2 linked regions of the Sus scrofa genome follow. The protein of the gene in region 2 interacts with the protein of the main gene of each other region in a biochemical or structural test. Links are inferred from orthologs where the notes say so. Each region holds a gene or a part of one and is shown on either strand. Other genes may lie near its edges.

Evidence for each region.
Region 1: the proteins of SKP2 (region 2) and CCNA2 are reported together in a solved structure, tested with the Homo sapiens proteins (2 studies listed by BioGRID, with this or other methods). The link is inferred for Sus scrofa from reciprocal best matches to the Homo sapiens genes SKP2 and CCNA2.

The regions. Positions count from the first base shown.
Region 1 is NC_010450.4:102,258,999-102,263,150, reverse strand, and holds the start of CCNA2 (cyclin-A2), read right to left. Parts: upstream 2,806-4,152; 5' UTR 2,738-2,805; coding exon 2,525-2,737; intron 1,779-2,524; coding exon 1,535-1,778; intron 1-1,534. UniProt on the Homo sapiens protein: Cyclin which controls both the G1/S and the G2/M transition phases of the cell cycle. Functions through the formation of specific serine/threonine protein kinase holoenzyme complexes with the cyclin-dependent protein kinases CDK1 or CDK2.
Region 2 is NC_010458.4:21,462,037-21,466,077, reverse strand, and holds the start of SKP2 (S-phase kinase-associated protein 2), read right to left. Parts: upstream 2,809-4,041; 5' UTR 2,801-2,808; coding exon 2,793-2,800; intron 2,292-2,792; coding exon 2,020-2,291; intron 1-2,019. UniProt on the Homo sapiens protein: Substrate recognition component of a SCF (SKP1-CUL1-F-box protein) E3 ubiquitin-protein ligase complex which mediates the ubiquitination and subsequent proteasomal degradation of target proteins involved in cell cycle progression, signal transduction and transcription.

The DNA of each region.
Region 1 (4,152 bases), on a different chromosome or scaffold from region 2:
AGAAATAAGATTAAGTTACTTTTAATTTTCTATCTAATTAAAGCTAAAAGTGATTGTCCTTGTAAGGAGTCCCATACTACCAAAGCATTTATTTTATCCAACTAAAAAGAGCTTCTTATGACAAAATACATAGAGGATTTCACTCTGATTTTCGTACCTCTGTCCACCTAGCTTTGGAATGATTTTAACAAGAAAAAAAAAAAAATACTGATAAGCCATTAACAGGAAAAAGAATTTGAGGAAAAGATATTTTGTTAAAGTATCCTTCATCTCCCATGACAGGAGTACAACGGTTCTGTCAGAATAAGTTAAAATCAAGTTTTGAGGTAATACCTAGGATTTGTCATAAGGGAGCTTACAGACCCCAAAGTCTGACGTATTCAAAGCACAATCTAGACGGTAACTAGAAGGCTAATGTGTGCTAAAGAGAATTATATTTGTTATGGGCAGTTCCAACCTATTAACACTACAATCAAGGGGAGATTCTTTGTTGTAAATTTAGATTATCTTTGGAGGCAAAAAGTATCAGCTATTAATGTTTTTACTTCAAGGTTTAATCTGAGGTTAAAATTTGTTGTAAATTTTACTTTTTTCTTTTTTTTTTGGTCTTTTTAGGGCATGTGGCAACTACCAGGCCAGAGATGGAACCCTCCCACAGCTGTAACCAGTCACAACATGGCAACACCAGATCCTTAACCCACTGAGCCGCAAGGGAACTCCTGTACATTTTAAATAAAAGTACACAAATTATTTTATTTTCAAAGGACTTCCCTGCTATACCTCTCATTGACAGAACTAAAATATACTAGATTTAGTGAGCCCATCTATTATATGTGGTAATGTACAAAAAAGCATAGTTCAACTGTGACTCACAGGATAACCATGTCCCTCCCTGGTGTCAGTCAATCACTCAGACTGCTTTTAAACAAAAGTTTAAAGCTGGAAGAGATGTTGATCACAACATTTATTTTTTGTCTTTTGTCTTTTTAGGGCCTCACCGGACTGCATACGGAGGTTCCCAGGTAGGGGTCTAATCAGAGATGTAGCTGCCAACCTACGCCAGAGCCATAGCAACGTGGGATCCAAGCCACATCTGCGACCTACACCACAGCTCATGGCAACACTGGATCCTTAACCCACTGAGCAAGGCCAGGGATTGAACGCGAAACCTCATGGTTCCTAGTCGGATTCGTTTCCGCTGCGCCACAACGGGAACTCCTGATCACAATATTTAAACTACATCCTCAAATAGCACTCTTTGAAATGGTATATACAAAGTGAATCTTAAGAATACAATTGAAATATATTCTCCCAATCAAGCAACATGTCCAGGGTCAGATTAAAGTAAGTGTTTGAGATCTAATAAAACTGATGTGATTAATAGTGTACCAGAGAGTATAGGATTAAGATCCTTTTGTAGGTCACTAGGTCATGGATAAACTGTGAGGCCTGAAATAAGTCACAGCCTTTCTAAACTTACCTATGCAATAATTATGATTACATTTATTTGATACAGATATTCTTTAAAACTTACCAAAACTACCATCCATTGGGTAATCAAGAGGTACCAGTGGTTTTCTTGGTCCAGGTAAAGTAACAGCTGAATTAAAAGCCAGGACATCTTCACTTTCTGGTTTTTTAGATTCAGCTGGCCTCTTTTGAGTCTCTTCTTCTGCTTCATCCACATGAATGGTAAATGCAGGTTGTTTACTGTTTGCTTTCCAAGGAGGAACAGTGACATGCTCATCATTTATAGGAAGATCCTTAAGAGGCGCAACCTAAAAATAAATAACTGGCTTTGAGTCTATTAAATGGAATTTGGCTTTCATCCCCTTATACTGCATTTACTTCCAAATACTCTATCAGGAAAATTAAACTTTATGGGGCAAAATTCAGGCAAGGAAATTTGAGTATGCGTTCCTGCAGAGGTTTTAGAGTCACACTAACGGATTACACAAAAATAATCAGGGCTAAGATAGGTGGTGGGGCAGGCCAAAAGATGCCAAATTTAGGAGAAATGGCAAAAAAGTGGTTTACCTCTTTCGCCCCAGGGTGGAGCAACAGAGCAAATTCGGTAAGATGGCGGAATTGTCCAAAAGCAAAGTATTTTTTATACCTTTTTCTAAAGTAGAGGTAATCTCTTAATTATGTGGGTAGCATGAAGGAGGTCCGGGCAATGCCTGGGGCCTAAAAGCTGAGAGAAAGGCGCGGAGGCGGCAAAGACCGTACTTAACACATACTCAACGTCGGAGGATTTGGTTTGACCATTATTGTCTATAGCAAAATACTCTCCATAGAGCAGACAGGCAACATAAACGCATAGTGCTGGCAGGGAGACTAATGGGAGAAAGGAATGGGGGTAATGTGGCATCCCACACTCGAGAAAACCAGAGGTCAAAGGGACCCCCGACACTGGCCTCCCGAAAAAACCCCAGGAGATGCTACCTCGCCACTCTCCTCTGCGGTCCAAACCCATGCAAAACTCCCGCTTGGCCCACCCTCCTCCAGATAATAACTCATTTACCCGTCGCGTCTTAGGCCTCTGCTGCAGCGCTGGACCCCGTGAGTTCCCGGCCTTCAGTACCGCCAGCCCAGCCCGGGTCCGGGGCTGCTGGGCGGCCGCAGCCTTCTCGGGGTTGATGTTCTCTTGGTCCTCTTGGAGCGCCGTCTGCTGCAATGTTAGCAACGCCGAGCCCGCCTCGCGGGCCACAGGCCCGGGCGCGGAGCTGCCCAACATCACTGCTCCCGGGGGCGCGACGGGATCAGCCTGCGGCGCCAAGCAGCGTGCACTGCGTCCCGCCGACCCGCCGAGGAACACTCCTGCCCTACCTACCCGCCACAGCCCGGGCCAGCCTGCCCGCCCGCCTGCTCAGGATCGTGCAGGACCAAGGAGGTTGCAAAAGCCGGAGGCAGGCGCTGCCGGGCGTGCAGGGTCAAGGACGCCCCCGGAATGAAGCGAGCAGCCCGCCGGAGCGGCAGCTGTTCCTGCAGTTCAAGTAGCCCGCGACTATTGAAATGGACCAATGATAAGGGCCAAGGCCCGTGACGTCACGCTGGGCGACACAGTCGCAGGCAAGTGAAGGCTGCCGCGAAGGAAACCGAGCAGGGGCGGAGCGGGGCGAAGAAAAGTCGGTGAGCAGCAGGAGGAAGTACGCCCGCGCTGCGCAAAGAGGCGGGGCCTAAGCTTATTGTGACTTTAAACGGAGCCACTAGGGGGTCCCTGTCTCAGAGCAAGGGCTGTCTCTAGAATAAACTAAATTAAATTTTAACAATTATTAGTGGGCCACCTTGGCCTTTAGCCTCAGGACCTCCAGTTAGCTCGACTGACTAGTTTCTCAAGGTCTAAAATCTGATCCGCCCACTTACTGGCCCGGTGATCTTGTTCAAGCACTTCAATGTTGATTCTCAGTTTTGTAACTGTTAATTGGGAGTAATAATGTTTATGCGTTATATAGGTGTCCTTAGTATTAAATAACGTGCATAAGTCATTTAACACACTGCTAACGTAACTGATACTCAAGTGGCAGACTACATCATCTTACCATTTAAGTGCTTCGCACAGTCATGCTTTTTATTTTTCTAATGATGATGCAGTTATTTTGAAGTACCACCTTGTACTACTGTTGATAGATGTAGCAAAGAGTAATGTACTACAAAAAAACTCCACTAGATGGTCATTAATGTTCATCTCTTTCTTTCCCAAGCTGTGGTAGCCAACAAAAAGCAGAGTAAAATTCTAGTGATCTATATATAATTATGTGCTCCATTTAGAAATGAATGTTTAAATATAGTAAAAACAATATGACCTTATTAAAATAAAACTCTGTTAGCAATATGTGCCTTAACAAATTCTAACATTTAATATACAAGGCTTGCACATATCTAATAATTATAATGGTATATAATTAAGAAGCACTGTTTTCCAACAAATTCATGAGTGTGAGCGAGCCTTTCTTGAAAACATAAAAAATAGCTTATTTTCTATTTCCTTACGGTATTTTAAAACACCCTTTACGTACAATATTCACCTGAATATGAATCAATATGAATTAAGATTAATGAACAAAACTTCCATAGCCTTAAAGTCATATTTCCCCCCATATATGATTAAAAGGAGATCAGTGGATACTATGGCAGGAAAATCTAAGAAGC
Region 2 (4,041 bases):
CAAATAACTTCCCAGGCTTGGTAAACAGCAGAATGAGGATGCAAAGCCAGATTTGTCTGACTCCACCACAATCCTTTACTGCCTTTCTAATGAATCCAACACCTAATAGAGATCCCCAGACGGTAACCTGAAGGTTCTCTTTCCTAAAGAAAGAGTTAAAAGCAAAAAAAAAAAAAAAAAAAAAAAAAGTTTGGGATGGAAATGCTGTAAAATTTGGTTGTGATGACTGTTGTACACCTATAAATGTAATAAAATTCATTAAGTAATAATAAAAAATTTAAAAAAACTATATATATATATATATTATTTTTTTAAAGTAAGCAAGCAAGCAACCAGTCAACCTTTCCTCAAAGAAAGCCAGATGGGGAATTTAGGTATATACTTATTTACCCTCACTCTGCAAGTCTTCATCTTTATTTCTTGTATCTGTCTCTTCTTCTATCACCTCCAGTTTCAGCTTAGAACAAGATCACCTCTTCTACAGACACTTTCAAAGCCTCCTAACTCTGTCCACTCACATGTTCGAATCTATTCAGAAGCTGACCACTGCCTATCATCACTCCCACACCTCTCAACAAGGCTCTGAGTTTTTATTTGCAACACCCTACAGTTTCATCTCAACACATCAGTGTGTCCTTTTAAAAGGTCACGTCACAACTCCGCTCAACAGCACCTCTAGCCCATCTCCCACTACCTTCTCCTTTGCTAATCCACTCTTGGAATATGGCTTCCACGTAGTTCCTTGAAAAAACATGACATTCCTATGCCCCAGGGTCTTTCCACTAGCTGTTCCCTCTGCTTGGGGTTCTCTTCCCCAAGGTATGTGCATGGCACATTCCTTCGTCTCCTTTATGCTTCTGCTTAAAGCTTGCTGTCCAAGTGAAGTTTTCCCTTAACGCCCTGCTTAAAATTGCAAACCAGCTTCCCACCCAAGGACCTCCAATCCCTTTTGGCTTGTTCCATTTTTGCTTTTATCCATAGCACGTATTCTAGTATACCATACACCAGATTTATGTTTCCTGCATCCTCTCTCCGAAGCAGAAACTCCACGAGGGTGGAAATGTTTTTGTTTTGCTCAATGCTATATCCCCAGTACCTAGAACAATGACTAGCATATAAAATGTGCTCAGCAAATATTTGCTGAATTAATGGTTTACATGGTTTACCAGCAAGAAAAACTGATAACCCCAGGTCAGTGCACTGTTTACCCTATGGCTTTGCATACTCCTGGAGTTCTGGATCCACTCTGGGAGGCACTTACTCATCTGCCTGAGAAGCCTGGTAACAGAGAGCTATTAGAGGGGAATGACGTGGTGCGTTTTACATTTCAGTCAGTCCACTCTGGCTCTGGGGGATGGATCTGGGGAGGATAAGGCTGGAATTATGAGTCCATTCCAATATTCAGATGTTGACAGCTTGAGAAATATTCAGGACACAAAAGGGAAAGATGTAATGATTGGATGGATGTTGGGGTTGGTGGGAATCTGACTGATTTTCAGGTTTGGGGGCTGGGCAATTGAACAGATAACACGGGCAGTCATGGAGACAGAGCATACCAGAATAAGCCCACTTGGGGATGGACCCGGGAAGAGAAGTCTCTTCTTCCACCTAGTTCAACATTCACTTTAGCAATCCCTTGACAAATAAGTAAAGTTGATTTTGGCAAAAACCTCAACCAGAGCAGCAGAATATAAACAAAAAGAATCCTAAAGGATCATTTCTTTGTTCTCATTTGTCAGTGGCACTAAGCTGGCCTTAGACCAGGCAGAGTCCTTCCTAAAGAGAAAGGCAGGAACGGATTCTCCTGGATTCAAAGTCTATTGTGCATCTTAAGATATACAGCTACCAACATTTCTGTTAACTTCTAAAGCAACGAATTTTCTCATCTCTTTGGAAAATAACTTCAAAATTAGGCAATTTTAAAAGCGCTCCATCCTAATGATCCTTAAACAAAGGTTTACCAACAAAATATTTCAAGCTACCACTTACTGCACCGATAGTTTGACCCTCATACCTTACCTGGAAAGTTCTCTCGATTTAGCTTAGGTCTGCGGACGATCACAAAGTCCTTTTCATTCCCTTTGCTCTTCAGCCGTTTTCGCGGAGGGCTCTGCGGGTGGCCCAGGTTTGAAAGCAGTTCCTGGGGGATGTTCTCACTGTCCACCTCCTCCTTCTCCAAGGCAGAGACCCCCATGCCTGAAAGCAGTTCAGAAGTCTTGCTAGAATCCCATCCCCACGTGAAGCTGGTGGTAACGTTGCTACTCTGGTCGGGAATCTCCTGGAGGTGCTTCCTGCAGATAAGCACAATAGCCCCCGTTCCTTTAAAAAACACACCCGTGAATAATTCCAAACAGGCCTAAAGGAAGCTGCAACTTATGCATTACCGAAAACGCTCACAGCAGCTAACTGAACTTGCATTTTAAGTGCCGGCGGCGAGTTCCCAAGAATGAAAGAAAAAAGAACCAAACACACCGAACAAATCGAAAAGGCTTTTTGATTTACGATCATGCAGAAGGCCTCAAGAATGTCTCAAAGTGGATGGAACAGATAAGAAGAGGGCAATTATACAGTGATTGAAAACAGGAGCAGAAAAGCCCAATAAGGGAAGCCAAATAATATCGCACGCTGATCACAGCACTAAAGCATCCACCCATCCACGTTTTCCCAAAGAGGAGGTTAAGCAACCATTCACATTGCAGCATTACAAACAATATTAGGAAGTAGCAAAACTCGCGGCCTAAAAGAATTAAGATGGTCCACTCACGGTCTGCCCCTTTCTGCAAACGGTTTACCTGTGCATGGCGTCCGCAGGTTCGGGAGTTTTAAACGCGTGCATTAATTGCAGAGGTGCCCGCCTCCCGGATTCCCGCTTTGGCGCGCGGCGGCGCACTGCGTGTGGCTCCAGCCCCCAGCAGTGAGACCCGCGAACTCTATCAACGTTCCATCCCCACCGCGCGCGCAGAAAACTTCTGCCCGCTCTCCTCCCCGCTACCGTCTGCGGCCCCGCTGCCTTCTGGGAATTGTAGTTTTCTCCCTGCCTGGCAATCCGGCTGCCTCGCCACTACTTCCTTTCCTCGCAGCTTTCCCCGCCTTCCATATACCCACAACCCCCCGCGGTTGCGGCACTGGACGGCCCACAGGGTAGGCGGGGAGGCGGAAGTGGGCGGTGCTCCAGCCGACCGGGCTATGGCAGCAGCTTGACGGGCGACAGGTTTTCTTTTCCCGGGAACCCCTAGGCCTTCTGGTGACAGCCACCGCCGTCGCCAAAGAGCGTGGGTTCCAGACCCCAGACGGCTGTGGCGGACAGGGGGTTTCCAGGTCCTTCTGGAATCTGTCCGGCGAGATCGGACGGTGAGCCTGAGGGGGGAGAGCCTGAGACATTTTGGGATCTGGGGCCAAGTGCAGGCGGCGAGAGAGGGACCCACGAGACCCCGAGAGGCCGCCGCCGCGGGGCCTACGTTCCTGGCCGCTGAGTGGAGGCAGTGGCCCGCCCCGCCCGCCAGGTGAGAGGTTGCGGCCGCGGGCGTCACACCTGCCTGTGTCTACCCCTCCGCCGGGAGCTGCTTCCTCCATCCGGGAGAGGGCAGCCCTTAGGATTGGGTCTGTGGACAAGATCCTTTCCTGATCTGTAAAATAGGCACTATGGCAACGAAGGATTATTTCACATCTTGCCGCCGTCAGGGTCAAACCAGAGGAACATGAGTGAGAGCATTTTGTAAGTGAAGGCGCAGTTTGAGTCAAAGGTGGTGGTTGAATTTTAGGGGATCAGGAGACCGCTGTGTTCCTGTCCGCAGTGGCAAAGCTGAGCATCCCTTTGCAGCCTTGAGCAGTCTTACAACACTAGCATGACTGTATCCGTATACGCTAGGGGCCACTAACAAAGCCTATCGGTTGCTCTCTCTCGACCGGCTGCTGCTGATTGCCTAATCTCTGAAAAGCAGGCTGCTTTTGCCTACCTCCGCGGAGAAGAGTTTGGAGATGGTTAGAGAGCGTGCCATATTCCGAGTATGATGACCGGGCGAAATCCACTGTGCAAACTGT